Diceros bicornis minor: one gene and its partners. The protein of the gene in region 2 interacts with the protein of the main gene of each other region in a biochemical or structural test. Links are inferred from orthologs where the notes say so. Each region holds a gene or a part of one and is shown on either strand. Other genes may lie near its edges.

Region 1 (7,921 bases), on a different chromosome or scaffold from region 2:
CTCTGCCCTGTTCTAGCTGTGTGACCTTGAGCAAGTTACTCCATCTCCCTGGGTCTGTTTCTGCAGCTATAAAATGGGGATATTTTACTCTCGAAGTAAAATAGCCTCAAAATCCACCTACTCTCAAAGGCTTCTGTGAGGATTAAATGCCAATATATGTAAAGGACTTAGAAAAGTCCCTCTGGCACATGGGAGACACTCAACAAACGGTAGCTATCAGCTAGTGTGTCATCCTTCTCCCTCCCCAAACCCCTCCCCCCACCTTATGCATCACCATGGCTGACACCATCTGGCTCCAGTCACCTCCATGGCCTCGCCTCCTAGCCCTCCCTCCACTTGGCTTCAGCCACACTGGCCCCCTTCATGTTCCTTGAACATGCCAGGCACAATCCCATCACAGGGCCTTTGCACGGGCTGTGCCTTCTGCCTGGTACACTTCTCCCCTAGACATTAGGGCTCCCTCCCTGAGCTCCTTCAGGCCTTAATTCAAGAGTCATCTTCCAAGTGAGGCCTGCTCTGAGTGTAAGATTTCACCACCCCAATACTCTATTCCTACCTCCCCTACTTCATTTTTCCTCCTTAGCACTTGTCTAACATACCACCTAATTTTACTTATTTGTTTTATTTATACAGTCTGTCTCCCCGACTTTTAGCAAATGTCTGCTCCACAAGGGCAGGAATTTCTGTTTTGTTCCCTCCCATATTCCCAGCACCTAGAAGAATGCCTGGTACTCAGTAGGTGCTCAGTAACTGTTGGTTGAATGAACAGTCCCAACTAACTAGCCTCTTAACTTGCTCTCATATGCCCTCTTCACCTCCATTTGCTCTCCAACCCTGATTTGTCTGAAACAATATTTTTTCCCATTCACTCATGAAATAAATTCTTATTGAGCACCTACTACATACTAGGTATATTTTTAGGTGATGGAGACCCAGCAGTGAACGAGCAGACAAACCTGTAAGCCCCCATGGGACTCCAATCCTAATGGGGACAGACAAGAAACCGGTAAACAGTGTGTCCGACTGTGATAAAGCGCAAAGGGACAAATCAAGCAGAGAAGGGACAGGTTGACATCTGAACAGAGCCCTGAAAAGAACCATGCAGAGATCAGGGGTAGAGTGTTCCAGGCACAAGAAACAGCCTGCAAAGGCCCTGAGGCTAGAAGGCGCCTGGTATGTTTGAGGACGAGTGAGGAGGTCAGTGTGGCCAGAACAGAGTTGGGAGGGAGGTGTAGCAGGTAAGGCCAGAGAGGTTAGTTGATTTATTATTAACTCACAGGTATTTTTATTTACACTGGAGGGGCTTCTAGTTCTGATTCCCTCACTTTACAAATGAGGAAAGAAGTGCAGAGAGAAAATGGTTACATCACTAAGGTGACACAGCTGCTGGGAAGGGAGGTGGATGGGTGCTGAGACAAGGTGGGAATGGAGACAGCTCTGCAGGCAGAGGGAACAGCAAAAACAAAAACCTGGACATGGGAACTAATTTCGTTTTTAAGGAGTGGGGCCTCGTGGGATGGGATGAGAGGAGTCTCAAAAATTACCCTGTGTTCTGAGGGGCAACCTAACCTGGTACTTACTGGGTCCCCTTTGAGTATGGTTTTTAACCTCCCTATGCCATGCCAAACTGTCCTCAGTACCTATATCATCCGGTTGTGGTGAGGATTAAATGGGCTCATTAATATAAAGCACTTTGCCTGGTACATAGTAGGTGCTCAATAAATGTTAGCTCCTATTGGCATTGTCACTAATCTATTTATTTATTGTAGCAAGGCACAATGTCTTAGTGGTTAAGTGTGTATGAGGGGGTGTGTTCTAGAGTAAAAATAAAGACCTGGGTTCAACCAGTACACAGGCTGGTCCACTATTAAGGAGGAAGCGGGGCAGGGAAGGCCACTGATGCACCGCAAGGAAAGGAGGGAGAAAATGAAGCACACAGGCTGACCCTTCTGGAGGAGGGATTACAAAACACTAGAGTCACGGGAGGGTATCCCAAGAGGTGGGAATGCAAGCACATGGGCAGCAGGAAGGCCAACGAGCAGACCCACTGCAAAGGCGAGGTGGGGGTGCGAAGGCTTATCTTATTTATTGGCAGCAAGGCGAGCAGAAAGGCACACCGATTCCTGCACAAAAGTGGAGGAGGAGAAAAGCTATCACACAGACTGATTAGAAGGAAATCGGGCCAAGGCCATGGACTGGGCTACTGAAAACAAGGAGATAAAAAGCACTAAACTGAGCCATTATTAAAAGGAAGGGAGAAGCCCAAGGACTGAAGTGACAGTCTACAAAAAAGGGAGGACAGGGCAATGGGCTGATAACTAGGGGGATGTGAATACAAGCATGCAGACTGATTCGCTGTAAAATGGGTGTGTGTGCGATAAAGCCATGGACTGATACACTGGAGGAGACAGGAATACAAATTCACACATTAACTCACTGTTAAAGAGGGGTGAGGGGGGACAACGCCACGGATTGCTTCACTACAAGAAACAGAAGGGGTGGAACAAACAAGGCCACAGACCGGGCCCCTGAAAGTTGAGGACAGGAGAAATACAAACACTCAGACGCACCTACTGTCAAGGAGTTAGACAAGGCCAGAGACTGGTCCCCTATAAGTGGGGGTGGGGGCAAGACCACGGACGAGTCCACTGTAAGGTGGGGTGGGGAGAAATATAAGCACGCAGACCGATCCATTATACAACAGGAAAAGGGGTTAGGACACGGTCAGATCCACTACAAGGGGCGAAGAGAGGGGACAATGCCACAGGCAGGTCCACCAGCCGCGGTGGTGGCGGTGAGGAGTCGAACACCAGCAGGCCACGGGCCAAGCCACATCCCTCGCGCGGGGGCGGGAAGGATACGTGGGGTCACGGACCGGGCCCTCTACCCTCCAGACCCCGGGCTCACCTGTGCGTAGCGCAGGAGCGATGTTGGCAGCTCCGGGGGGCGGGGGCTCCATGCGCGGCCCCACCGCCCCCCAGGCCCGGGTTCCGAGGCGGCGGCGGCGGCGGCGGCGGCGGCGGCGGCGGCGGCGGCGGCGGCGGCGGCGGCGGCGGCGGCGGCGGCGGCGGCGGCGGCGGCGGCGGCGGCGGCGGCGGCGGCGCCTAGAAGCCGCCCCTGCGTTTCCCCACCACTCACGTGGGCCCGTGGAGGAGGAGCCGAACGATCCGCCTCTCAATGATTGGCCAAAGCGCCATGGATCGAGCGCGCGGCTTACAGGGTTGGGGAGGCGGGCCCTGCCCCACAGAGCTATGCCGTGATTGGCCCAAGGGGAAGTGATGGAACGCAGACAGCCGTCTTGGTTCCAAGGGGGTGTGCTCGGCCCGGCCTGTGCTCCACGCTGATTGGCTCAAGAAAGACTGATAGACAATCGGCAATTGCCTAGTTTCCTGGGGCGCCTGCCTCGCACTGATTGGCCTATATGGGATTGATGGAAGACAGCCACCGAGGATAGGGGTGGGTGCTTGTGCTTCCTGCTGATTGGCGGATGAGGGACTCCTAGACAGCTGCCAAAACAGCAACCGGGCGGTGCTGCACTCCACGCTGCTCAGCGGAAGCAGGACTTGTATAGAATAAGCGTAACAGCCCGCCGGGAGGGGGGTCGGGTCAGGGCTCTGCGTAGGCGGGCAGGGTAACTCTATAGTGATTGGCTAGAAAACACGAATTTAGAACGGAGCAGAGGTAGGAAGGCAGGGCAGCTGCCAGACACGCCAAGGAGCGTTCAGGGCGGAAACTAAATGCCTACGAACAGGGCAGGGTCGAACTGCAGCCAGTTATAAAGGGGCGGAACCTGGCTCTGCATTGATTGACGGAAGCTGGACTCAACCTAGAATAGGGGCCGGACCAAGGAGGGCGGGATCGGCTCTGCGCCCATTGGTGGAAACTGGGAAGTATTTAGCAGCCAAGACGGCGGTGGGTGTAATTTAAGAATTGAAGGTACCTGAGGAATGACTGGGGTGTGGGAGAGGGGTAAACCTTAGGGCCAGGAGTGAAAGGCTGATTGCCTTGGGAACAAACCTCCACCCTGAATCGGCCCATTCTCTATGGTAATTCAAAGAGTAGTGTTCAGGAAAAGAAATAGAAGTGTCAGATGGAGGCCCAGGTTGCTAAGGCGACACAAGAGAGGGCAGAGCAGAAAGTCAGGTGTCAAATGCTGCCAGGCAACAGGCTGGAGGTGGGACTTCAGGGGGACTTTAAATGTTCCACATAGAGACTGGATCTCTGGGCCTCCTAGTAACTTTGTGCTTTAGATACAGGACACCTGAGCAAAAAGGGGGGGCTAAGGGGGAAAAGAAGGGCCATGTGACTCAAAGGCATTCAGGCTTTTTAATGTCAGGGGAAGGAGGAAGAAGTCAATGGTGAGGCTTCTCTTGGAAATTCTGCAGGCCTTGTAGTTCTCTAAGCCCCTGAAAAAGAGGAGAGAATAGATTGAACAGAGACTGCGTCCAGGCCCCGCCCCAGGCTTGCTCTGACATCCCCTCCCTCAGGGCCAGCCTGGCTCCAGCTTGGTTCCAGTTTAGAGGGAAAGATGGTCATTCCCATCTCTAGTCCCCTCCCTTCCTCAAGTCACCACCCTAAACATTTGGAGACAGAGTCTGAGAGTGGGGTGAGCTGCTCTCACCTCTAGCAACATGTGGATATGGGCCTTGATATTCATGGAGTCCTTGGTGAGGCTGTCGCTGAGCCTGGAGAAAAGAAACAAGGGGCGAAGTGGACCCCACTTATGATCATGAGGATGATGATTCCTCATCACTTCAAGAACTACCTCCATCTTGGATCACTTCCCCAGAGCAGGTGGTAGGACATCCTACTAGCTGACCTGCTTCTGTGCAGAGATGCCTGGCCATCATCTGGACTGCACTGATTCAAAGACATTTCTTGAATCTCTACTCTATGCCAGGTAGTTTTAGGTACTGAGGAGAGAGCAGCAAACACAGCAAACAAAAATCGTGGCCTCATGGAGCTCAAATTCTCGTTAAGAGGGACAAATGATGGAACAAAATATAGAGTATGTCAGATGGTTCTAAGTACAATGAAAAAATTAAATGCTAAGAGAGGATAAGGAGTGCAGGAGTGGGGGCTGCAACTCTAATTAGAGTGATTAGGGATGGCTTCACTGAGAAGCATTTGAGTAAAGACTTAAGATGAAGAAGCAAATCATGTGGCTATATGGAGGATGAGTGTGCCAGACACAGGGCAGCAGCAATGGCGCTGAGGTGGGAGTGTACCTGGCATATCTGAGGCACAGCAAAGAGACCAGTGTGGCTGGAGAATCAAAATAGTGTGTGGCACATAGTAGGCACCCAATGTATGCTGAATGAATAAGTGAATGACTACTCCACTCAAAGGAACCTGAAGTCCTCAAAAGGTGGTTGAGTCTACGTTTAAGGACAGGAAACAAATGGAGCATGGTGTTGTTGCTAGAGAGCAAGAATGCTTGCAAGAATATCAGGGGTACCCCTCAGAGAACAGATGAATGATCTTGATCAGCTTCTAAGGGACAATTTGAAATCAAAGAAGAGAACAAAATTAGTTAATGGTACAAGCTTAGTCTATGAAAGGCTATGAGTTCAACACTTAAAAAAAAGGAGAAAAATAGAAAGTTCACCAAATGCTAGTTGTAACACAAAAGGGATACGTTTAATTTATTGCTACTGATTTAATACGTAAGGCAGTGTGGATATGTACTCCTTTCTGTGTAATCAGGAAAGAATATACACAGAGACCTGATCCTCCCATTCCCCAAACAAAGAAATATACTAAGAACAGGAAGGACTGACAGATTGTTTGGTTACATAAAATAATCTGAAAGAAAGTTAGTTCAAAGTGTATCCCAAGTCACCAAGTATTTTAAAGAGGAGAGTGAGCTACACAGACTCGAATCCTCATTTCCTAGAAAGATTAAACTTCTAGGGAGTCCTATTAATTATAATAAAGTAATAAGAGATTCAATCACATTTCTCATCACACTAATAGACCAGGTCAATATATTAAAAAGACCAGACAAGGAGACAGGCACTGACAACTTAAGAATTGAGAAATCTAAGATTTAGAAATCTCAGCAGGTCTGAGGCTCTTTTGGGTCTACTAACACTGAAACTCTGGAAAGGTTAGAAAAGAAAAGAATTACTGAAACCCTAAGGGAGGCAACTCTGGAAGAAACAACTCTGAAATCTTTATTCGTAGGGATAAAGATAAATATAACCCAGAAGGAATTTTCTATCTGTGGTATTCACTTGTGAGATGTTAATTGAAGTGTAATGCTCAGCGTTCCCTCCCGCACTCCAGCCGAGCCACGCTCGCCTCTCCTGCCAGTTCCTCTAACACAACAGGCACACTGGTCCTCTTGCCAGGAATCCTCTTCCCCAGATAGCCCCATGGCTTGTTCACTCAACCAAGTGACTCAAATGTCACTTCCTCTAGGAGGCCTTCCTGAGCTACATTTCAAACCTTGCATCTACACTCCCAATTCCCCTTCCCTTAACAAAACCTTAAACTCAACCAGAGCCCACATTTTCCCTCCACATTACCTCCCCATCACCACCAACAGAGATCTGCTTCAATCTGTTTCCAGCATACCTTTTTAAATTCATTCAACAAACACGGAGTGCCTACTATATGCTCTGCACTATTCTAGTCACTTGGGGTATAGACAACATATCTCCCTCTATAAAGCTTATAGCCTAATGGAAGAAAGCAATGCACATTAGAAAGAAGTAAATTACACAGTAAACATGAGGAGGACACAAGTGCTATGGAAAAAAGAAAAAGTAGAACAAGGAAGGGGAATCAGGAGTACCGGGGGTTGCAATTTTAAAGTTAGGTTACAGAAGGCCTCGCTGAGGAAGTGACATTTAAGCAAGACTTCAATTGAGTGAGGAGAAAGGAAGCCATGCAGGCATCTGGGGAGAGTGCTGCAGGCAGAACAGCCAGTGGGGTGGCCCTGAGGTGGGATCATCCTGGGAGTGTTTAAAGATGCCCATGAAGGTCAATGTAGTGAGAGCAGAGCGAACGAGTGGGAGAATTAGCAGGAGGCGAAGTCAGAGGTAACTCGTTTTATCGTTACTGATTTAAAGGGTGAGACCTCCCGGATCTGGTCAAAACTGTGCTTGTGTATAACAGTACAGTCCTTCTATAACTTAAGCCTTCAAGGAACCTTCTGTCTTGTTCACTGCTGCCTCCCCACTGCCAAGCACAGAGCCTGGCATACAGCAGATGCCCAATAAATGTTTGTGTGAATGAACATTTACTGAGTGCTTATTATGTGCTATACCTGGGGCTGAGCCTTGCATCCCCACTTTCCTCAGCCCTAGGCCTGAGGAGGAGGGGAGATGGATCCCTAAGTATCATCCCAGGCAGCCATGGAGCAGGGGGGAAGGGTGTTGCGAATGGTGGTGTTTGTAGACACTATCCTCATGGAATGGACTTACTCTGTGAGAAGATTGCTCTTACGATCAATGAACTTGAGAGCTTCTGCCAGTGTCAACTCCAGGAAAAAACCATAGCCAAGGGCCACATAGATCCGGGAAGTGTCTGGGCTGAGGAAACAGTGGTTAGAGGAAGTGGGGGAAGTCCTTACCACTGTTTAGCAAACCATACAGTTTATTTAAGATTTTTTTTTTACTCCCCTCCCCCCACCTTCCCCAAATTGCAGCTCAAGGAGGGAGGGATTTTGTCCTATTTTATTCACTGTCACTTCTCCAGCACCTAGCACGGTGTCTGGTACAGGGCAAATACTCAGAAAAACATTTGTTGACTGAAGGAAGGGGGGGGAGCTGAACTCTGTGGGCTCAGAGGGACGGGTAGACACTCACACCACTGTGTCAACAAAGAAGTTACAGCCCAAATCCACCTGCATATATAACTCCGAGTGCTTCGCTTCCTGTAGCGCCAGGGAAAAAGAGGTAGGGGTCAATGGTCA
Region 2 (6,920 bases):
CCGTCGGGCCCAGCCGGGAGGGCGCCCCCTCCGCCCCCGGCCTTGCGGCCCCGACTCGCCGTCGCCGCGCGCCTGGACCCCCGCCCCGCCCCGCCCGGCAGGCCCGCGGCGCCGCGCCCGGGAGTCGGCCGGCCGGAGCAGGGAGGCCCGAGCCTGCGGCCTCGGCGGACCGCGTCCCCCCGCGCCTGGCCTGGCTCGCGTCCCGTCCCCGGATTCCCATCACTTTCCCTTTTGAAGGCGGGAGAGCGCGTGCTGGGCGGCGGCCCCGAGGGGCTCCCGGTCGCGTCCCGGAGCGCAGAGCGCCGCGGCCGCTGTTGACAGGCGCTGGGCTGGAGGGCGGCTACCGCGCCGCGGAGCCTCCACGGGGAGACTGTTTTCCGGGGTCACGGGACTGCGCGCAGACCTGTGGCGCTCTGCAGCCAGGGGACAGCGCGCGGCCCCGGTACTTGAAAGTCTTGGGTTGCAAAATCGCTGGCTCGTGGGGGGGTGGGGGTTTGATGTCTGAAAATCAAAACAAGCCTGAGTTTTCTTGCGCCTCTAAAGAGCTCCACCTGCAGTTGGTGGGACACTGAACATGGGCGCTTCGCTTCAGGGAGAGTTTTCTTTCGGAGGTTGCTTTGTACCGATTGAGCGGAGGTTGGAACTGGTAGTTACGTGAGTAGGAGGGAGGAAGGGGATGATTAGCTGGGCTCGCGATCGCGGCCTGTAGTCGCCCCGGAATCACAGTATTAGCCGGTTCGGTTTGTATAATTTGAAAATATGCTTTGTTTCTCAGTTTGGGAAGATATTGTTACTGTGTTTGCAAAGTTGGCTTTTTGTTTGTTTCCTTTTAAAGACTGTGGCCATAAATGTTTCTTGCTATTGAGGAAACACAGCCTTTGGGTTGAGAACCTATCCGACAGAAAAAGGACATGGATCCTAAGTTTGTCCTGATTTGTTTTCCGCCTTTTGGGTGGTTTAGGGGTGAATTCTGCATGCTGTTGTGCTTTTGCCCGGTGAGTCTTGTGGTTTGTGACTTTGCTTCAGAAACAGCCCAGGGTCCTGGGAATTATGTTGGGAAAGAACAAGAGATGTGCAGCTTGGACGGGAGGTCTCCTGAGTGCGAGGTGCTTGGGGCCAGGTGAAGTGAAAGCCTTCTGCTGGAATCTCCCTTGCGGAGTTTGCATTTGGGTGGGAAAGGCCCGGCTGGAGCGTGAAATCCATTATCAGTGTCACCCTGGGCAAACCTGTGAGGTCATAGTCTAGCACCCGTTTTACAGATGAGAAAGTTGAGGCTGGGGAAGATGAGCACCTTGCCATATTCATGCAGTAAGTAGCTCTGAGGTCCGTTCTGTCAGTTAGTAGAGCATGATCTGACAAGAGCAAGTTCAAGTACACCCCTCTGCCAGGCCCTGGAGGAAGGTGGAGGGCAGACTCCAGTGCTCTGCCTGAAGAACTCTAGTAGTTAGGGGATGTCTTATCTTTGTATCTTATAACTTTGCTGCTCTGAAGCATCTAGGAACACTCAACTGCTTCTTAAGTGCCTCTGTTAGTTGGGGAAGGAGTTTCCATTTCAAGTGGGATTCTGAATGAGTTGTTCTGTATTGTAATTAAAATGTAACAAATTGTCTGCTGTCTCCTGTACACCAGGAGGTGAGTGGGAGTGGAAGCATCTTGGGACCAGTCCTCTGCCTGGGACTGTGCAGGTGTGCACCTGTGGCTCTTTGTCCTGCTGACAGAACCCGTCTTGGTGATGCCAGCCCAGCTCAGACTGGGGGGCGGGGGGGTCCTTACATCTCATTTCGACAACTGCTTGTCTTGGTTACTGAACTTCTGTGTTCATTAATGCAGCAGAAGCAGCCTGCCAGCCTGTGCTGTCTGCTTTACCCTGGCTGGGGGTGAGAGGCCATTCTGTGTGTGCCCTTTCGGTGGGGGAGGCTGGGGGCAGGGGACTGGAGGACTTTGGAGGCTAGTGTGTGCTGTGCTCTCAAGCTGGGGATGGGGGTGGAGTTGGGTCATTTCATTTAGAAGAACCAGTTGAAGTGAAGGGTTTGAGAAACTTGTGGAAATGAAGGATTTTCAGACATCCAGGTTACTGCCCCAGCCTCCTGGCCTCGCGGCTAGTCATCACTGCGCACTTCTGCCCAGAGAGAGCCTTAAAGACAGGAGCTAGCTGGCGCTCTCCTCTGCCCCGGTCCTTGCAAGCTCCCCACCTCCCTGTGCAAGCCCAGGTCCTCACAGTGGCTCACCAGGCCCTCACGGTCAATGTCCAGGCGTCCTGAACCCCCTGGCCCTGCCTCTGGCCCACGGGGCCCTTCTGTTCCTGACCATCCTGCCTGGAACAGTCTCCTGCCTGATCTCTGCAGGCTGGGCTTGAGTAGCCTACCTGGCCACCATTTGAAACCAGGGTGCGTGCCTCCCCATCCCTGTGGTCCTGCTGTGGACCTCGGGCACCTGGTGTTTCCCAGGACAAGACTTCCTCTTGTGTGAGCCCCCAGGGCAGCAATGCGCGTCTTGTTCTCAGCTGCTGGCCCCGATTTTACGTAGCGGGAAGGAGTGACTATTCCAGATGGAGACGTGCTGTCCAGGGAAGGAGACCCCGGGTGGGCGTGAGCTTTGGGCAGCCCAGTCACATACCGCATGGGAGGTGGGCAGACTAGAACCCTGGGATCGAGTGGCGGTGAAGAGAAATTCTATTGGGTGCAAGCTTGATGTTATCTATTTCATACTTAATCTTGAGGTCAGGTAAGATCAGAGTCTTTGTAAAGGCGCGTTGTGGGGTCACAGTGTGGAGCTGGAGGCCGTGCCCCCAGTGGGTGCGTCTGTCACGTGTGGCCCCGGCAGCTGTGCTTCCTGACTGGAGGGCTTTGATTTTTGACCGTCACTTTTCCTTATGATGACATAAGCATGCATGTTTCTTGAAAGCGCACCACGTCTGGTTGGTCTGGCGGTTTGTGGTAACTCGCCCCACTTCCTGAGACTTGGGCTCCTGGGTGGCACGGCAATGGCGATCCCAGACCCCCTCCTTCCACTTTGCTGACTTCTCGGGAGCTGCCCAGAACCCAGAGCGCTGGCAGCCCCGAGTTCCTGACTCGGGGTGGGGGGGGCATCGGGCATGTGCATTTCTTACAAGCATCCAGGTGATGCCCCCGCCCAGGGCCACACTCAGAAGGGGCTGTACTGCAGGGTAGCAAGGCGTGGCCCGTCTGGCCTGCTGCTGACCTGTTGACTTGACCCCTCCTGCACAAACAGGGGCTGTTTGAGTTGTCTGGGGCCCAGGGCCGGGCAGCCAGGTGGGGGATGGCGGGGAGAATGGTGCGATTTGGATTGCTGAGGCAGTTGTGGGTCAGCCTGCGCCGCAGTGGGGAGGCCGCATGAGTAATCACAGGAGGGGGAGTCGGGGGCAGGGGGCGATGCAGCGGGTGTCTTCAATGTTTCCACGGACTTGGGAGATCAGCAAACACAGGGTCAGGTTCTTGGGCAAGCTTTGTGACCTCTGAAGGTCTGCTGTGCCTTGCTGGCTATCCAGCGCCCTGAGATGCTGCTTTACCTGCGGGAAGCATGAGACAGTGCAGGCTGAGGGCTTCTGGGCTGCTGATTTGAACGGCTGAAGGCGCTGAGCCTCCAGGGTCTGTAGTCGAGGGGCTCGGGGCGTGATGGGGGGAGCCCCCTCCACACGGTGCACTGGCGGGGGCGGGTGGGCCTGCCTGCTGAGGTGTCTCCCCTTCCGCCTTGTGCTCCCTGCTAGCTGGCTCCCCCTTGCGTTGACTTCCCCAAAGTAAATGGGAGACAGGCCTTGATCTGTTCGTTGTTTGTGGGGCGCCAGCAGGTCCTAGGTGGGGCTGTAGGATGTGAGAGTGGAGGGAGAAGAGGAAGGAGCCTGGGGCCCTGGTGACAAGGGGAGTCTCTTGGATGCTGGTGGGCAGGTGTGCCATCTCTGTACTTGTCCATAACTCAGTTGAACTGCTCTCTGCCCCACTGGCACATTTCCGCTGCATTGCCTTTCAAGAATAAGGGTTATTCTCCTGGCTGCGCCCAAATCTGAATTCTGAGCCCCTGATTCTGAGCTGGGGGCCTGACAGCGCCCCCACATCCCTGTACAGGCAGAGGCGAGCACGCCATCACTGCCCCTCCTGGGTCTCGGGCTAGTGCTCTGGACACCCCTACCTTGTCCCTGCTGTTTCTGCGGAGTCTGATGGTGGAATTGTAATCCCTGTTACTCTGGCCCACTGCCGCATGTGACTGAAGAGGGCAGGACAGGTGTGCAGGTGTCTGTTGGGAGTGCCCAGTGTCCCCTCCCCCGCAGCACCTAGCAGCTGTGTGGCTTCACCTCTCTGAACCTCTGTGTCACCATGAAATGGAGTCCACGGCGTGTGCCGTGGAGCCCTGGAGGTGAGATGTACACAGGGAAGGTGCCCCACATGGAGGTGTTCCAGGAGGCCTGGGTCTTGGGAGCGGCCAGCTGCTGCTTCCCTGGCTGCCGGGGGCGGGTGGGGCCAGTTGTCAGGTGAAGAGACAGGGAAGCAGGTTTGCCTTTCCTAATCGCACCCTCTGCCCATCTCTTCCAGGGACTTTGAATATGTCGGGGATCGCCCTCAGCAGACTCGCCCAAGAGAGGAAAGCTTGGAGAAAAGACCACCCATTTGTAAGGAAAGCTTTATTTCTGTGTGCAACGCAGTGGACGGGGCCTGCCCGAAGGGGCCTCCCGGACGGGGGCCGTTGCCTCCGCGCTGGCAGGCGGTGGGGCCGCAGGCTTGTCCGTGTGCGCGTAGAGTGAGGCGGCGTGGCTGATGTGCTTGTGTGGTGTTTTCTCCCAGGGTTTTGTGGCTGTCCCGACAAAAAACCCCGACGGCACGATGAACCTCATGAACTGGGAGTGTGCCATTCCAGGAAAGAAAGGGGTAAGAGGCCCGTGGCTCATGTCCTCTGCCACTTGTCGGCTTCTAGCAGCAGGACAGAGGGACAGAAGTCCTTCAGAAGGACTTGTGTTTGAGTGCATGTGACATTCCTGATGCTCATGCGAGCCCCGGGGGGATGTGAGATGGGGAACGAACGAGGGTAGGGTGACATGTAACCCCTCACGTGTGGGGAGGTGCCCCACCAGCTGCATCTCGGGAGCAGAAGGAGCCTTGGAGGTGGGATGGAGACTGGTCTGGAGGAGCCCGAGGGCCTTCGGGCTTGTCCTGCCGGACCTGCTGGGGCTGCAGCTGCCCAGACATAGTGATGCTCCTTCTGGGGCGTCTCTGAGCCTGGGGCAGCTGCAGATCCTGTGATGCAGAGGCCAGGCATCAGCCACTGGAGAGGGCTGCGTGGGCCCCTGCATGTCCTTCACACACTGGCCAGTCCTCCCTGTGGGGCTGCCTCCTCGGCTCCCCTGAGTGCACCCGGCCCAGTTAGGACCCGCACGCTTGAAGCATTTGGGAGTGAGGGTCTCTGATGACCTTGCGTATAGTTCTGCCTGGGTGACTCCGGAGGAGGAGGCCCCCGAGGTGTCTGGGTTATGCTGGAGGCGTCATCACCTCCATTTCCTCCCACCCGTGGTCTGTTGTGAGATCACGAGAGCTCAGCCTCAGTGCTTCCTGATAGTGTCCCCACCCCCTGCACTAAGCCGGTGGATTAGGACTCGGCTTTGTCCGTGAGGTGACGTGGTTTGGGTTTATCCTTCGTCTGAGGTTGTTGAGCGCCCAGCACGCACCCAGCGTTTGCCGAGACCATTCCTGGCCCCTCATCTTAGGGCAAGGCAGGTGTGCTGCGGCCGTCTCCCTCCTGGGGGAGGTTGGAAAGGGGTAGTGGATGGTGGCGCTGGGAGGCTGCCCAGGGACAGGTGGGACCTGAGGGAGGGGCCTCTCAGAATGCCCCTCTAGGGGAAGGGGTACGCAGTAGAGTTCCCTCAAGTCCTCACCCTGTCCCGGGGTGGGAGGAGCCAGCCCGCCAGGGGCCCTGCCTTCTCAGAAGCCCGGCTGCTGCCCTGCCCCGCTCCAAGGAGAGCTCTTTCCGACTCAGTCTAAGGGCTCATGGAGGTCCTGACAGTCCTGTTTGTGGAACAGTTGGGCTGCTCCCCTCTCTCTGGGGTCCTCGTGGTCCTAGGGGGTGTGCAGCAAAAGCAAGCCCCTCCTCCTGGGCCTGGCCGGCAGCACATTTAATCGCAGTCTTATTTCCCAACAGACTCCATGGGAAGGAGGGTTGTTTAAACTGCGGATGCTTTTCAAAGACGATTATCCATCCTCACCACCAAAATGTAAGTAGACTGAAGTCTTTGAAAGTCAGTCTGCTGTGGCCACGTTCCAGCAGAAATCTGAAGTCCTCTTCAAAGAGCTCAGGCCTCCTGGGGTGTTGGTTATGTCACACTCTGCTCCACGTGGGGCGGCTCCAGGGCCTTTGATCCCTGTGGCTGGCTATGGATTTGAGTCTGTTTCTAGCCCCGGGGGTGCGAGGGGCATGGAACAGGCTAGTCCCAGATCCCAGCTCTAACCCACTGGGAAGCTCCTGGGCCCTTAATGTACCAGCCTAGATAGGGACGGATGTGTAAAAGCACCACCGTCTAGAACTTCACCACTCGGAGGGTTTTGTTTGCCCTGACCTGTTACCAGCCTGCCTGTTGTCTGTTAGAACTTCCCACCCAGCTCATGGCTGCATCTGCAGCCTGGAGGGAGGGTGCACATAAGCCCCCAGAGAAGGCAGCAGGGAGAAAAGGCCAAGCTGGTTTAATGTGCTACTGCCAGACTGTCCTGACGCAGTTCAGCAAACCTCAGGCGGGGCGGGGCACCAAATCCCTACCCTTTTGTAGCTGGAAATCAACATACGTTGTCCGTGGCTGGTTAATTAGATGAGTTAACATGTGCCCCAGCGCGTGGGCAACAGGCGGTGGCGTGGTGAGGCTCTGTGTGAAGGCTTGCCCTAGTGGTCAGTGATTCGGGAGGCAGAGGTACGTTTCCCATTGC
Region 3 (7,044 bases), on a different chromosome or scaffold from region 2:
AGTAGCCATCCCAGTAGGTGTGAGGCGGTGTCTCACTGTAGTTGCGAATTGCGCTTCTCTAATGATTACTGACGTTTTGAGCATCTTTTCATGTTCCTTTGGCCATTTCTATGTCTTCTCTGTAAAAAGGTCTGTTCAAGTCCTCTGCCCATTTTTGAATTAGTTAGCTTGTTTTTTTTAATTGTTGTCATTAAGTTGTAGGAGTTCTCTATATATTCTGAATATTAACCCCTTATCAGATGTGCGATTTGCAAATATCTTCTCCCCTTCTGTGGCTGCCTTTTGATTCTGTTCATAGTGTCTTTTGACGCACAAAATTTTTAAATTTTCATGAAGTCCAATTTGTCTATTTTTGTTGTTGCCTCTGGTGTCATATCTAAGAAATCATTGCCAAATCCCATGTCGTACAGCTTTTGTCCTGTTTTCTCTTAGGAATATTACTGTTTTGGGTCTTACATTTAGGTCCTTGATCCATTTTGAGTTAATTTTTGTATGTGGTGTTAAGAAGGATCCAACTTCATTCTTTTGCATTTAGATAGAGGACACATTTGCTTTTTTAAAGAAAAGATATGGATGTGTTCAAAACAAACAGATGCAGGGGCCAGAACACAGAACAAACAGAACCACAGGGCAGGGGCTGCAGACCAGGCAGCGGAAGGCAGCAGGAGAGCCTCACAGGGCCACTGGGTGCCCTGGCTTCCTGGGGAGACTGGTGCAGGCGGAGAAGGCGCCAGGCACCTCTCCCCTCTAACAGAGGGAAACCAAGAATGAGCAGCCTGTCCGAGACCCCTGGTGAATTCCTAATAAACAAAGAGTAAAAGAAATAAAAGAAACCCTGAAAACAATGACCACAATTCACTACCGTCAATCCCCCGCCTATCCAGAGGGGGCAGAAACTGTTTTCCGAATCGACCCACAAGGTTTTCTTTCCACCCCCAGGACAGCTTGGGAGTGAGTCTCCTACCCCTCCTCTCCAGGCCCAGAGGAGAGAGCAGCACGAGAGCCAGCAGGCACCGAGGGCACGGTAGGCAAGAATGAGGTGTGAGTGAGGCACAACCATTTAGTCGTTTTGGAAGCAGTTCAAACAAGTTTATTCAACTGAATTGGACCATGGATGTTGAAGACATGGGAGAGTTAAGTTTACACACACTGAAGAAATGAGTATCATATGTATTTCATTGTATTTAAACTTCAGTAAGAGGAAGCCACCCAGAAAAACAAAGGCAAGCATTTACCTTTGGCCTGGAGGAGTGGTATAAAAAGCTGAGTTGGCACCAAAATGTAAAAAGCCATGGCGGCTCCATCTGCATCTGGAGGCTTTCCTGGGGTGTGACCTTTTCTCAAAACACAGCGGGCAGAGTGCAGGCTTCCACTCTCCCTCCAGACCACGGGCTCCGTGCAGGTCCACCCCAACCCCAGCTCTGCCACCTGCGTGCACTGGGGACACGCCAGGCCGCAGTCTCAGCTGTGGAGGGGGTGCAATCTCCAGCACCAGGCTGGTATCAGAGGAAGCCTATGTGCAAAGCATTCAACTCAACAGCAGATCTTCCATTTGGTCAAAACAACAGACCCCAACGGTGCAGACAAAAAGCTTCAGGAACTTGCTTTTGCAGTTACAACCGTGGACCTCCCCAAGAACTGACAGCCAAGGCATCGGAGTGAGGAGAGCCAAATGGGGACAGGTGGAGGCACACCAGAGGGCACCACGGAGAGGGGTGGGCAAAAATCCCCAGGAAGAGATGAGGAGGGGCAGGTGCACACCGGAGGACAGCGACGGGGAGGGGGGCGCACCTGAGGACAGCGATGGGGGGGTGGGTGCACACCTGAGGACAGCGATGGGAAGGGGTGGGTGCACACCTGAGGACAGTGATGGGGGGGGTGGGCGCACACCTGAGGACAGCGTGGGGAAGAGCAGAATGGCGGGTGCACACCCGAGGGCGCGGCGGGACGGGCTGCGGTAAAGGTTGGCAGTGTGCACGGACAGGTCAGGTGGCCTCGCCGCCTGTCCCCAGGTGCGCCCTCTCGGCGCCCTCTCGCTCCGCAATGAGGGCTGGGGAGGGTGCCCCCTGGAGACGCCTCAGCAGACAGGTCCAGGGCCGGACCCGCGGACCGCGGTCCCGACGGGAGGAGCTGTAGTGGGGGAGGCTCTCCGCGAGGGAGGGGGTCCTGAGGAGGGGCGGCCCTGGAGAGAAAGTGGGGACGTGGGCTTCCCGTTGAAGTCGTGATTGGGGGGTAAAGCCAAGGCTGGAAGGCCCCGGAGCGGGGTAACGACGGAAGACGAGGGAGCGTTTCTCCGCGAAGGGGGTTGGCAGCGTGCGAGATCCCCGCACCCCGGGGTTCGAGCGCGGGTGGGCGTGGACGTGAAACCGAGCAAGGGCTCCTGGGGAGTGTGGGCCCAGACGCCGCAAGGCTCCCGGAGTCGGCGGGTCCCGGCTAGGAGAGCGCCGTAGTGGCGGGGGATCTCGGCGAAGGGGAGGTTCCCTGCGAGGAAAGTCCCCGCCCGCCCCAGACCACGTCCAAATTCCATCCCGGGCGGGGCTCCCGGGACGGGGCGGGGCCTAGCCGGGGGCGGGGCCCGGGCAATCACGGGGGCGGAGCTCGGAGGGCGTGGCAGTCGGGGCGGAGCCTGGGCGGGGGCGGGGCCTGGGCGTAGGGCGGGGCGGAGCCTGGGCTGTCGGGGGCGGAGCCGGGGCGGGGGCGGAGCGCCACAGAGCGGGGGGAGGGGAGCCGAGAGGCGCGGGGGGGAGGGGAGCCGAGGGGGGCGCGGGGCGCGGGGAGGCCTCGCCGGCGCCGCTCTGATCCCGGAGGTCGCACCCGGCCGCGGAGGGTGCCTGGTGCGCGGGCGGTGGCGGCGCGGGCGGGGGGCCGAGGACCGGGACCGGCACGCGCCCGCTGGCCCTTACCTTGGGCTTCTCCTCGGACATGGCTGCGGGCGGCGGCGGGAGGCGGCGAGGGGGAAGCAGGCAGCGCCGGAGCGGGCGAGTCACGCTCTCGGCCCGCCGCTCTCCCGCCGCAACTGCTCGCGGGACCGCGCTTTGCCCCCCAAATCTCGGCGTGCGGGTTGGTCGGCGAGGGGGTCACGTGGCGTTGCGCGTGCACGATGCGCGCCCCCCGGGGCGTCGGGCGCGCGCCGGGCCGGGCCGAGGTTCCTGACCGTTGGAAATGCGTCACGGGGCGGGGCCCGGCGTGAACCTGGCGGTCCTGACACTCTGGGGCGCGGAGGGCTTGGAGTCGGGGGTGGGGATGCCTGTACAGCACCAGACGCGCTCTCAGAGCTGTGGGGGCGCGGGACACCGGGGGGCTCACAGGGCATCGGGGGCGCACTAGGACCCGGGGGGCGCTGGAGCACCGAGGGCCCAGGGTGGCATACAGGACACCGAGGTCCCCAGGGGGTTGCACAGGGGCCTGGGGGGAGGTCTGGGCAGCGAGGGGCCTGGGGAGCGCTCAGAGTCCAGGCCATTTGGCCGGGGTTGTTGTGGGGTCAGGGACCAGGACTGGCGCATTATCTTGGGGCCTGAGGACAGCCTGTCCGCCTCCTCAGTGCCTTAGGTTCCTCGCCAACCGACCTGGTCCCTCGCCCACTTTAGCTCAGCCAGCCAGCCCAGGCGCACCCATTTATTTCCTGTGTAGAGAGTGCGTTTCTCAGAGCGAAAAAGGAAAATAAGGCCAGTCTGGTGAACCACCTCCAGTGGCCAAAGGGGACCTGGGTGAGTGAGTGGTGCCTTGAGAGGCACCCCACTACTCGAAAAGGCTCCATTCACCTTCATGGAGGAGCAGGAGCCAAAGGTCATGAAGAACTGTGGGGTGAAGGAAGAAAGCGCTCCAAGGCTGACCCACCTGTCAGCTCCATCCACTAAGGACACATCGCATTTGTTCATTTCACAAGCCCACACAAACTCCAGTCTGCCCTCCTTCACCCAGAGCTCCAGGGGGACAGAGACCTAAGACAGGGACCAGAGATGTGGAATGTCTTTCTGTCCACTTCTCACTCTGAGCTTAGCCAGGCTTCACTCTCTGCAGCTCCCTTTTCTCCCCTTGTCTAGTCCCGTTTGGCCTTCCGAACCTGGCTAGTGGAAGCTGAACCCTTGGGGAAGATGGTGGGACAGATGCAGGAGGCCCTCCTGTGACCGTTTTGCTAACGTTTCTGGAGTGCACACTGCACCAGATGCCAGGACTCCGCACCTAGTCCTCACAATAACCGATTCTACAAGTGAGGAACTTGAGGCACTCAGAGGTTAGATTACATGCCTGAGATCCCAGCGTTGGTAAGCAGTATGACTGGGATTTGAGCATGGGCAGTTGGTCAGTGAGCTTGACCAGTGTGCTCTACTGACTGTCGGGGCAAACCCAGGGTGAAACACTGCCTAGACAGGTGCTCAGGCGGCCATGGGGAATGTGCTGGAGAATGGGGGCCTTGGTCAGGACATCCTTTTGCTACTTGAGGCATGCATCCTTAGAAGCCCCTGGCTCTTCCTATCCTCCCTGTCTGTAATCCTAATGCCTTCAGATGAAATGGACCAGTGACAGCTGAAATTTATCTCACACTCAGGGTGTGCCAAGCCTGGTGCCAAGCTTGCATCATCCCACTCAAGCCTCACAACGCTCTGGTGCAAGGACCCTCATGATCCCTATTTTGCCAATTAGGAAACGAAGGTTTGGGGGGAAGGTGGACTGCACAGAGTCATGCAGCTAGGAAATAGCAGGGTCTGGATTTGACCCTAAGAGACTGAACCGTTTCCATCCTGTCTGAGTAAGGCCCAGCCAGCTGGATTCCACTCATTTCCTGTTAACATCACAAAGCTATGGAGCCATGTTTTCATGGACCTTAATTTCACAAACCATCTTTGACTCTTAAAAATTCACTTTCTTGGCTAGAGGCACCATTTAGGAGAGGGGAGGGGCCTCCCCAAAATGGGGCTGCCATGTCACAGGTTAACAAAGTCTCCCCATGAAAGGTGTGGTCAGAGCCAACCTCCTATCTCAGCCAGGTCCAAGGTCCTTTTTATCCTGGAATCTGCACTATGACCCACCTCTGTCAGAGAATCCCTAGGTAGAATGGCCAGCTCTAACTGTGCTTCTGGGAGAGGGGAGCCTGCAGGAACAAGCCCCATCCAGGACAGAGATGGACAATGGGGATCAGAACCATCCCCCAAGATTGTTGGCTCTGGTGTGACTTCACATGGGCAGTGTTCATGCCCATCATCAACTGGAAGACACCATCAATTATAAAGCATAATATTGTGTATGTCACATACACATTAAACTATGATGGGTTACGGATGGAAGACACATCCTGGTTTCAGACCTATTGAAGTGTGAAAAATATGTAACTTAGAATTGATGAAACACAATATCTAAATGTGTTACAATAAGAAATTAGTGAAACTATGGTCCATATAATGAAAGGCTGTATCACTATTTAAAGAATGTGTAAAAAAAAGAGTAGTTGATAACAGGAAAAGATGCTCATATGATGTTGATGAATTTTTTAAAGCAAATTGTTAAACTATTGTGGTTTTGAACAACTAGAAAATCTGTATAAAATATTTTGAAAATCTGTTTGAAGATATCAGGTAGCTACTAAAACAGAGAAGACTTTGAGGGGTGAAGATCCCAGAAAGAAGGGAAGTGGTTTTTCCCTCTGAGGCATTTGGTGATTAGTATGCTATATTAGTCAGCTGGGGCTGCCATAACAAAATACCACAGACTGGATGGCTTAAACAACATTTATTTTCTCACAGTTCTGGAGGCTAGAAGTCCAAGATCAAGGTGCCAACAGGGTTGATTTCTGGTGAGGGCTCTCCCCTTGGCTTGTAGAGGGCTGCCACCTCTCTGTATCATCACATGGCCTTTCCTCTGTGTGTGCATGGATATAGGGAGAGGAAGAGGGAGGGAGGGAGTGTGGGACAGAGGGAGGAAGAGAGACACAATGCAGTCCATAATATATGCAGTGGACAAGAAGTTGAGACACTGAGCAGAGCTTTTGAGTCTCATAGGATGGGGAGACAATAATTGAGCATGGCCTACTACAAGATAGGCTATGATAAATAACCTGGACCTTCAAATGGAGCACTGGGACCTACAATAGAGGAGTAAGGCTGAAGTGTAAATAGGTCACTCCTCACAAAGACTGAAACCCAGCTTCCAAACAGCTCACTCCCAGATTGGGCTATGCTGACCTGTTCTCCTTCCTATTGCCAGCCTGAAGCAAAGAAAATCTCTGGAGGAAAATAGCATCATCTAGGGCCTCAAGTTAACTAAAATATCTTCATACACAATATCCAGAATTAAATAAAAGCTTGCAAAGAAAACCAGGAGACAAATGATCCAAAACCAAGAAATAGTAATAACCCCACAGGAGACAGAGTATTGGCATTATCGGACACAGACTTTAAAGTAACTTTAATTATTTTAAATAATTAATATGTTAAGGAAAATAGATAATAAGATGGAAATTTTCAGCAGAAAATTAGAATCTATAAAAAAAAAGAAATGGAAATTTGAGAACAAAAATACAATTTCTGAAATTATGAATTCAGTAGATGGGTTTAACAACAGATTAGACACAGTGGAAGAGATGATTATGAACTGGAAGATAGGTCAGAAGAAAATATTTAGACAGAAGCAGAGAGAGAAAAAGTATGGAAAATACAGTAAAAGGCCTAAAAGCAATATACAATATGGTGGAAATATCTAACATATTTGTAAAATGGAGACTCAGAAGGAGAGAAAAGAATAGGCCAGAAGCCATATTTGAAGAGAGAATGAAAGAGAATTTTTCAAAATTCACCAAAGATAATAAACCACATACTACAAAGAAACTGCTAACCCAAATCAGAATAAATACAAAGACAGCCACACCTGGGTATATGACAGTTAGCCTGCTGAAGACCAAAGACAAGGAGGATATCAGCCAGATATTGAAAGGAGAAACAAAAAGACATCTGACTTTGCAACAGAAACATGGAAGCCAAGCGACAATGGAATAACATCCACAACGTGCTGAAGGAAAATGCCTACATACAGTTCTATACCCAATAAAAC
Region 4 (7,902 bases), on a different chromosome or scaffold from region 2:
AGGATCTAAAACAAAGAAATATTTGGAAGAATTTACAAAAAAGTTTTTAAGCGTTGTGGAAGTTTAAACTAGAACTTTAACAGGTGATGCCTATTTTCAAGTGCACAGTGTTACCAAGACTCCTAAACCAGGTCCTGGGCATTATCTCATTTAATCTTCACAACGACTGCTACGATGGGGGCTATGATTCTCATTTCAAAAGGATGAAATAGGCTCAGAAAGCATTCAGTAACTTACTCAAGCTCACAAAGCTGACAGAGTGAAAATGATGGACTCTTAACTCAGAAGTGTCTGGTTCCAGATCCTATGCTCTTAACCACCAGGCATGCTCCTCTTCCAACTAAGAAAATGAGAGAGCTTCTTGACTTTTAATGACCAAAGTTAAAGAAGGAAGTTAAGGAATGTTCATTCTCAGACATTTTACTTGAATGATCCAATAATTATTTGTTTTGGAAAACTTTGAAGGAGTCTGGCCTGAAACCTGAAACAGACCAATGACATTTCTTTGAAACCTAAAAATCTGTATCAGTGTACTGTTAAACAAGTCCAGCCCCTACTACTAAGGAATCAACATGAATGGCCCTATGTTATCTCTTATAACCATACCTATCCTCTGTTCTGATTTCTTCCAATCCTTCAGCTTTTGAGTTTCTAGACCTTCAAAAAAGACAAATTTGTCTACATAATCTGGACTCTGGAAGGCTCATTTAAACGGAAAAATTGTAAGGAAAAAATCCCTGCCCCTCAATCTCTCAGTTATCTTTTCAAAAAGTTTTAAAATTATTAGTTAGAAAAGGATAAAAACCAGACATCTCTAACAAATAGCGTCTAAAAGTTGAGTAGCCACCATTTATTAAGTGATTAACTTAATTTTTCAGTTATAAGAACATCTATATCAAGAAATATGATTCAATCTGATCCAAATTTGCTAAATTTCCAAACGAGAAAATTCCTTAAATAACAGATGAGTCTGGAAAAATCTAAGAACTAGTTTAGAATTGAGAGTGATGCACAACAGCTAATTAATTCATTTTTATTAAAGCTGCCTTTGATAGTCTCAACTGATGAACTGCAAAGGAGAAATAAGTACAATATTGCATATAAAAAGGAAGTGACGGGTGCGTAACTTGATGCATAGTATTAAGTATAATTCTGCATATAAGGACAAAAAATTGGCACTACAAAGAGGTAATCTGTCTTAGGTTTACAATACAGCAGCCTCATCATTTCATCAAAAGTACTGTAATCAGTTCTGCAAAATTAATTGAAATTAATTCCTGGCAACTCTTGGAATTAAGTCTAGACCTGTTTACTCACTTTTTGAATTTTATAAGTGCTTTCTCTGGTGTACATAAACTGAGAACTTATCATTCTATTGAATAAGAACCAAAAAAGGATCTACAAAATAGCAAGAACATAAACAAGTTTATCTTCTGCTGATACTGATTAGGGAAGTTAATCTCTCCCAGAAGAGTGGAAGGACTTAACAGTAAAGCCAGTCTACTAACCACAACTCTTACTATAAATCTTCAATTACTTAAAATGATTTCCTCAAAGGTTAAAATACCAAAGTGGACCCAACTGTACGTGGGGGGATGGAGGGGGATCACTCTTAACCCCACCGGTTCGACTCACAATTCTTAATCCTATAATGTATCACTCAGACGCAAACTTAAAAGTGTTTTAAAAACTTGCATTAAGTTCTAACTCGATGATTATTTACTGCGGATATATTTTGAAGGTTTCCCTTTAATATACTTCAACTTCAGGAAAATGAGACAGTTCTAAAAATGTTGCAACATTTTAGTGCTGCATTTCATACGCTCTGATCACATACCTTTTTTCCAATGTCATTAACAACGATTGCCCAAATTTAGCCAGCCGCTACATTTTCACCGTAATATTTTCAAGAATGAATGAGGCATCTATTCATTTATAACGTCTGGGCTTTCTTGACAGGTGATAGAAACACAAGTATCCAATTCTGATGTTCTCTTTAAAATGTTGCTGTTTCTCTCAATTCCCGTTACTCCCCCTCTAAGTCAAGGCAAGTTTTTCAAGGCCATTAAAACAAAACCAAACCTGCACGTGCAAACTCAAAAGTTAGCATCTTCAGGCCACCGCGGCAAATCCCGAACGCACAAAGGCAAGCCCCGGCCGCGCTGGACCAGCGCAGGGCCGCAGCACGAGCCCCCGGGCCAGGAGCCCAGCGCCTGGCGCCTCCGGGAAGCCCGGACCCGCGCGCAGGGTCCGCCCCGGGGCCGAGTTTTCAATGGAACCGGAGAGGATGGGGGCGGGAAGAGCGGAAGCTCGGGTGCAGCGCGGCCACCGGGCTCGCTCCTCTGCCCGGGGTTTCCAGGCCGGGGAAGTCCACCCGGATCGGGCGCCGGCGAGCCGGGGTCTGAGGCGGGGGGGGGGGGGGGGGGGCGGGCGGCGCGAGGCCCCGCGGCCGGGCGGGGCGGCCGGGCGGGCTCAGCCCCCGGCCCCCGAAAGCACTTTCGACGCGTCTCCCACCCCCCACGACAAGATGGCGACGCGGCCAGGGGAGCCGGGCCGGCGGGGCCGGGGGAGAGGGAGGAGAGGCGAGAGCAGGCAGAAACAAAAAGGCGGCCCCCCCCGGAACGCAAGGCCCGCCCGCCAGCCCGAGACGGCGGCGGAGGGCGGGCGGGGGCGGCGGCGGGGAGCGCGGCGGGCGGAGGGAGTGGGCTTACTTTTTCTTGTCGTTCGCGCCGCCGGCGCCCTCCATGGCGACTCGGGCCCCGCGATGCCTCCCGGCCGGCGGCCCCCAGGCTCGCTCCGGCCTAAGCGCTGGCTCCCTCCACACGCGGGAGAGATGGCGAGGCACGGCCGGAGGTGGGGGATGCGAGGCGGGAAACCCTCCGTGAGACGAGAGGCAGGAGGAGCGGGCTGCAGTCGCAAGGGTCCCGGTCCGGCTCAGAAGAGCCTTTCCTCGGGCTGCTCGTCAGGGCCCACCCCGACGCGTTGGCCGAAGCGGCGGCGAGGACGATCCTCGCGTCCCCTCGGACGAAGCGGCTCTGTGCTCTGACGAGCTGAGGCAGCGGCAGGGGGCGGGCTAAGGCGGGGGCGCGCTCGGGGGCGCACGCGCGGGGGGGGGGGGTAGTGTGTCGGGGGCGCGCCCGACCGCGGAGCCCGGCGCGCGCTCACGCAAGCCCGCCTCACCTGAGGGGGAGGCGGGTTCCTTGAGAGCCAATGGCGAACGACGCAGGCGGCCAGTCCCCACCCCAGCCCACGTCTCTCTCAGCCAATCAGGAGGCGGTCAGCTGAGACACAGCTGGGAAGCGCCGCGGCGCTCACGTGCTCGTCTGTGTGCAGCGGCGGAGGGAAGAGAAGAGCTGGGGGCGCGGCCAGCGTGGGTCTGGGGACTCTGCGCCTTCTCCCTGGGAAGGCAGTGGCTGGCTTTGGGAGGCGCTGCTGAGAAGAGATTTCGGTTTCTGGGTCCCAAGCCTGCATCACGTTTCCTGCTCGGTGCGGCAAGTCTCCTGCTCTCTTTTTCCTCGGCGGCTATGCTGTACAGGGTTGCCGCCAGCTCTGCTGAGTCCTAGTTCAAAAAAACAGACTTTTCGCGTCGTGGCAGCGAACTCTGGTTCCTTTGCCCAGATGTGTTACAATGGGGTCTTTCTTGCCAGGTCGCCCAGCCACGGGCCATGTCACCGACCACATTCTGCCATAGAACACAAGAGTACCCTCCTTGTCCACTAAGTTGTTCTGTGAAGTTTGATTACTGAACAAATGCAAATAAAAAGATAAACAAACTCCTCTTGCTGTAAACCTCTCAAGGGAAGCAGGTAGCAGGAAATCTTAAAATATGAAATTATTTTAAGCATTTACAAATAGGTATAAGTGGCTTTAATAAAAGAGCATAAACCTGAATTTCAGAGGAAGAGTAGGAAAAACAGCTTTAGATAGGCTTTTATTTTACTTTCCTGTTGCTTCTAAAAGAGCCGAAAATAATCTTAGAAGGATGGGAAAAAAGGGGAAGATGACCCTTGATTGAGACTTACCACCTTGAATTGAGTTCACTGTGTAGACTGGAAAGAGGAAGGATTCTTCAAACCCCTCGCTGAGACCTGGGCAGGGGAACGCTGAACCCGAGTTAACACTTTATGGTGGCGGCCAGTATTGCTTGTTTGCTAACATGACTTTGCAAGCTGCTGGATAAGACAATCACTTTTTGGCTTTGGAAGCATACATTTCAAGACTGTCAGTCTTTTAAATGAATAAAGAATGTGTTTTGAGCTCAACAAAGAAGCATTGCACATATATCTCCACTTGACACTAGATTACAGTATTTTGCTTCTCACCTTTGCATTATTAGTTATATTGTTACAATGTGGCTTTGGGTTGTGTATTAATTAATGTGGATATCTGTAGTAGGTTTCAATTATATTGGTGTGTGAACACAATGGTCTGTATAACATAGCATTAAACTCTGAGAAGACAACAACGGATTCACATAGCACCTCTCTGTAACTGGTCTGTAGACCCATAAAGATATGGTTAAAGAGTGATCTTAATGCTACTTTTTCTTCAGATCTACAATGCTGAATGATATGTATTCTTGAAAAGTACTGGAGAAAATGCCTGAAAAGAGGAAAGGACCGAAAATAATTACTCATGTTTTCTTTTTTAATTGTGGAAAGAATAAACGTAAATTACAAACCTTTTAGTTTAACATTCTGAAAACTCAGTGTTAAGAACACTGGTGCCAGAGTCAAAAGTGAGCTTGCAATACAGGCTCTGACACTTACTAATTCATTTAACCTCTCTGTGCTTCAGTTTACTCACTTGTGTCTATGCCACAGAATTATGGGATGATTAAATGAGATAGTACATGTAAAGCACTTAGAACAATACCTGACACATAGTAAGCAATCAATAATTGTTAGCCATTAGTATTGTTGGTGGTCTTGTTTTCATTATTCTTATCATTATTACCCCCAAATTTGTGCCTCTGCTAGCAGTAATTACTTGGGCTTCTGCCACAGGTTAGCTAGTTTTAGCTATCCAAAAATGTCAATTATGTTCATATACATCCACATATATTCCCTATTTTAAACTTTGGAACTGCCCACGGTGTTCCCACCCTCCTACACAAGCACAGTTGCAGAAATCTTCAATCATTTCCTTTGTCATTTACTTGTAAGAAATTCTCTCTGTTTTAGTGTTTGTTACATTTAAAAAATGAGCATTTTGTAATAGCAAATCTAAGTCATTTTTTAAAAAATTTTGAGCATTTCAAAAGTTTAAAGTAGAAGGATAATTCAAACAGCAAAATATATTTTTGAACGTTCATTAAATTTACCCCAAAGTTCAATTTTCCTTTCCAGAAATGTATAAAATATGGTATTTTATGTGTATATGTATACATATGTATGTATAAATGTGTATACACACACATACATATATGAACACGGAAAGTGGTAATATTCAACCAGCTTGTTTTCATATAATTACGAAGGAGCCAAATAGTATTCCTTAATTCAATCAATCCTGTTAAATAACAGAATTCTGAAAAACAAAATTTTCTATGGGATAAAATTGTAAATCATCCTCTTTACAACCACCTATTAATAAATGCATTTAGGTTATTACAATGAACATAAATCTTAATGAAGAGTCTCATTCAATCGCCTTCTAATCTTTGTAAGTGTTCAAATTTCATTCCAACTCACTTTGCAGAACTTTGCAAGTAGACTGAAAGATTATTGCAAATGACTCAATTGACCCTTAACCCATATTTAGTAGGAAGTTGGGCAGTGAGTCAGGAGGAAGCAAGATAAAACTTGAAATTTGGATTACTACTAAATAGTATAGAACATTGAGCCTTTTAAAGAGTGAAACACATCAGAAACAGATAATTTAGAATGTATCAAACTATATAAGAACACCTGGTGGTCAATAAGTGATTCTTGATCTTTTAGTACCCTTAGTCCCTCCACCACCACCTTGACCTATTGTCAACAACCTATTGTTGTTGTACAACAACAACAACAAAAAGCAATCGTCTGGAAAGTTCTTAGAATAGACATTAAAAATCTTTTTTCAAAAATCAAAACAAAATATGTATATTTGTCTGAGTTTCTGGAGAATAAGAATAGACTGAAAATTTGACACTAGCATTTTTCCATTATAATAGACATTTTAAGAGTAAATTTACAAAGGAATGCCAAAAGATTTTCAGTCTCTAGTCCAACATGCAAAGAGCTTGGGAGCTCCCATCCTTACAATAAGGAAAAAAGCTGAACAAACTGAAAACCAACAACTCTTCTTAAATCTATCAGAGAACTGAGGTCACAGGACAAACTCCTACCTGAAAACTAGAGAGACAGACAGATATAAAGAAGCACAGCTTACCAAAGGATCACAGTTGACCAGGAGCCAAAGCCAGCAGCTGAAGCCAACAGCACAGTTGGAGCCAATATCAATAGGAACGCATTCAACTATAATTGAGGAATTGCTGGAGGCTCTGTTTGGACCAGCTTGAGAGTTAAAAACTCCAAGGGGGCTCAGCCGTAGAGGGGCCCTAGAACTTTCCTGAGTTTTACTTCTAGGAGCCCTAACAGAGTCTTACTGTGAAGATGTGAGAAGCGTCTCCTCTTGCTTTTTGCAGGGGGAAAGGAAAATTAACCCTTTTGAAATACTCCCAGAGCTCTCTCTTTTTCTGAACCAGGTCTGCCCTCAAGGGAAACTATTTTACCGGAGCCTAACCCACCTTGGGGAAGGAAAACACTCAATTCCAGCCCCCTATAGCCTTCAACATGGGAGAAGGGAAATGCTCAACTCAGGCTCGCTAGAAGACTGAGACATAATTATAAGACTATAGAATGCTTCCCCTCCTCCCGCACCTCACCAGAACACCACATCAGTAGGGCTCCTACATAATAACGGGGGATTACAGCTAAAGGAACTGCAAGCCTCAGACCCTATTTAAAGAGTCACTAGGGACATCCAAAGACAACAAAAGAAACAAAAACAAGGACCCTAGAGGAAAGTTTAGCTTAGATACCACAGCTACAGCAAACAATAACACAGCCTAACACCTAGCCAGATAAACAAAACTTCATAGTAAAGGCCTATCTTCCTAAGTTCCTTTTACCTGATACAGCATGTCTGGCTTTCAACAAAAAAAATTACAAGACATGCTAAAAGGCAAAAAGCATGGGCTTGGGGTACTGTGCCCCATCTCCAGCCAGCTGAGGGGGCAGCGGACTAAGATGATGGATGGTTGAGCTTTTGCTTCTTGCTGTATTTCCTTGAAGCTAATTCATTATCCTGCAGTCCCTTCATCTTCCACACCAGTCCGCTCTTTCAGCCATTAACCTAATCACTCAGCTAAATAGGTTCATGAAGAGTGTTAAGTACTTCTGAATCACGTTATGACTTAGAACAGAGATGGCAAGTGAATGGCACACCATCACCCTTCTGCCCCCATGGTAGGTACGTTAACCTGCTTCAGAGTGTTTCCCACTACTCCCCGGTATATCCTCATTTCTCAAGATTCCCCCAGCAGCCGGTATAAGTGTTGAGACCTATTTGCCATCCCTGGCTGAGATACTGCTCACCTGTGGAGAAGTGTTTCCTAAGATCTTTTCTTCCCCTCTGAAAAAATAAAAGGCAAAAACACAATCTGAAGAAATAAACCAAACATCAGAACCAGACTCAGATATGGCAGAGATTTTAGAATTATCAGACCAGGAATTTAAAATAACTATGATTAATATGCTAAGGGCTCTAATGGAAAAAATGAACAATGTGGAAGAATAGATGGGTAATGTAAGTAGAGATATGGAAACTCTAAGGAAGAATCCAAAGAAAATGCTAGAAATAAAAAACAATGTAACAGACATGAAGAATGCTTTTGATGGGCTCATCAGTAGACTG

Evidence for each region.
Region 1: of the proteins of UBE2I (region 2) and ELK1, one has a biochemical effect on the other in vitro, tested with the Homo sapiens proteins (3 studies listed by BioGRID and IntAct, with this or other methods). The link is inferred for Diceros bicornis minor from reciprocal best matches to the Homo sapiens genes UBE2I and ELK1.
Region 3: the proteins of UBE2I (region 2) and SUMO3 form a complex in vitro, tested with the Homo sapiens proteins (2 studies listed by BioGRID, with this or other methods). The link is inferred for Diceros bicornis minor from reciprocal best matches to the Homo sapiens genes UBE2I and SUMO3.
Region 4: of the proteins of UBE2I (region 2) and HIF1A, one has a biochemical effect on the other in vitro, tested with the Homo sapiens proteins (2 studies listed by BioGRID). The link is inferred for Diceros bicornis minor from reciprocal best matches to the Homo sapiens genes UBE2I and HIF1A.

The regions. Positions count from the first base shown.
Region 1 is NC_080781.1:41,404,319-41,412,239, forward strand, and holds the start of ELK1 (ETS domain-containing protein Elk-1), read right to left. Parts: upstream 3,016-7,921; 5' UTR 2,908-3,015; intron 1-2,907. Other genes in the region: protein UXT, read right to left, coding at 4,280-4,406, 7,431-7,538, 7,815-7,882. UniProt on the Homo sapiens protein: Transcription factor that binds to purine-rich DNA sequences. Forms a ternary complex with SRF and the ETS and SRF motifs of the serum response element (SRE) on the promoter region of immediate early genes such as FOS and IER2.
Region 2 is NC_080765.1:47,066,416-47,073,335, reverse strand, and holds the start of UBE2I (SUMO-conjugating enzyme UBC9), read left to right. Parts: upstream 1-3,907; 5' UTR 3,908-4,331; coding exon 4,332-4,371; intron 4,372-4,547; coding exon 4,548-4,624; intron 4,625-4,796; coding exon 4,797-4,880; intron 4,881-6,144; coding exon 6,145-6,217; intron 6,218-6,920. UniProt on the Homo sapiens protein: Accepts the ubiquitin-like proteins SUMO1, SUMO2, SUMO3, SUMO4 and SUMO1P1/SUMO5 from the UBLE1A-UBLE1B E1 complex and catalyzes their covalent attachment to other proteins with the help of an E3 ligase such as RANBP2, CBX4 and ZNF451.
Region 3 is NC_080766.1:44,198,727-44,205,770, forward strand, and holds the start of SUMO3 (small ubiquitin-related modifier 3), read right to left. Parts: upstream 3,011-7,044; 5' UTR 2,925-3,010; coding exon 2,904-2,924; intron 1-2,903. UniProt on the Homo sapiens protein: Ubiquitin-like protein which can be covalently attached to target lysines either as a monomer or as a lysine-linked polymer. Does not seem to be involved in protein degradation and may function as an antagonist of ubiquitin in the degradation process.
Region 4 is NC_080763.1:11,158,464-11,166,365, reverse strand, and holds the start of HIF1A (hypoxia-inducible factor 1-alpha), read right to left. Parts: upstream 3,016-7,902; 5' UTR 2,747-3,015; coding exon 2,712-2,746; intron 1-2,711.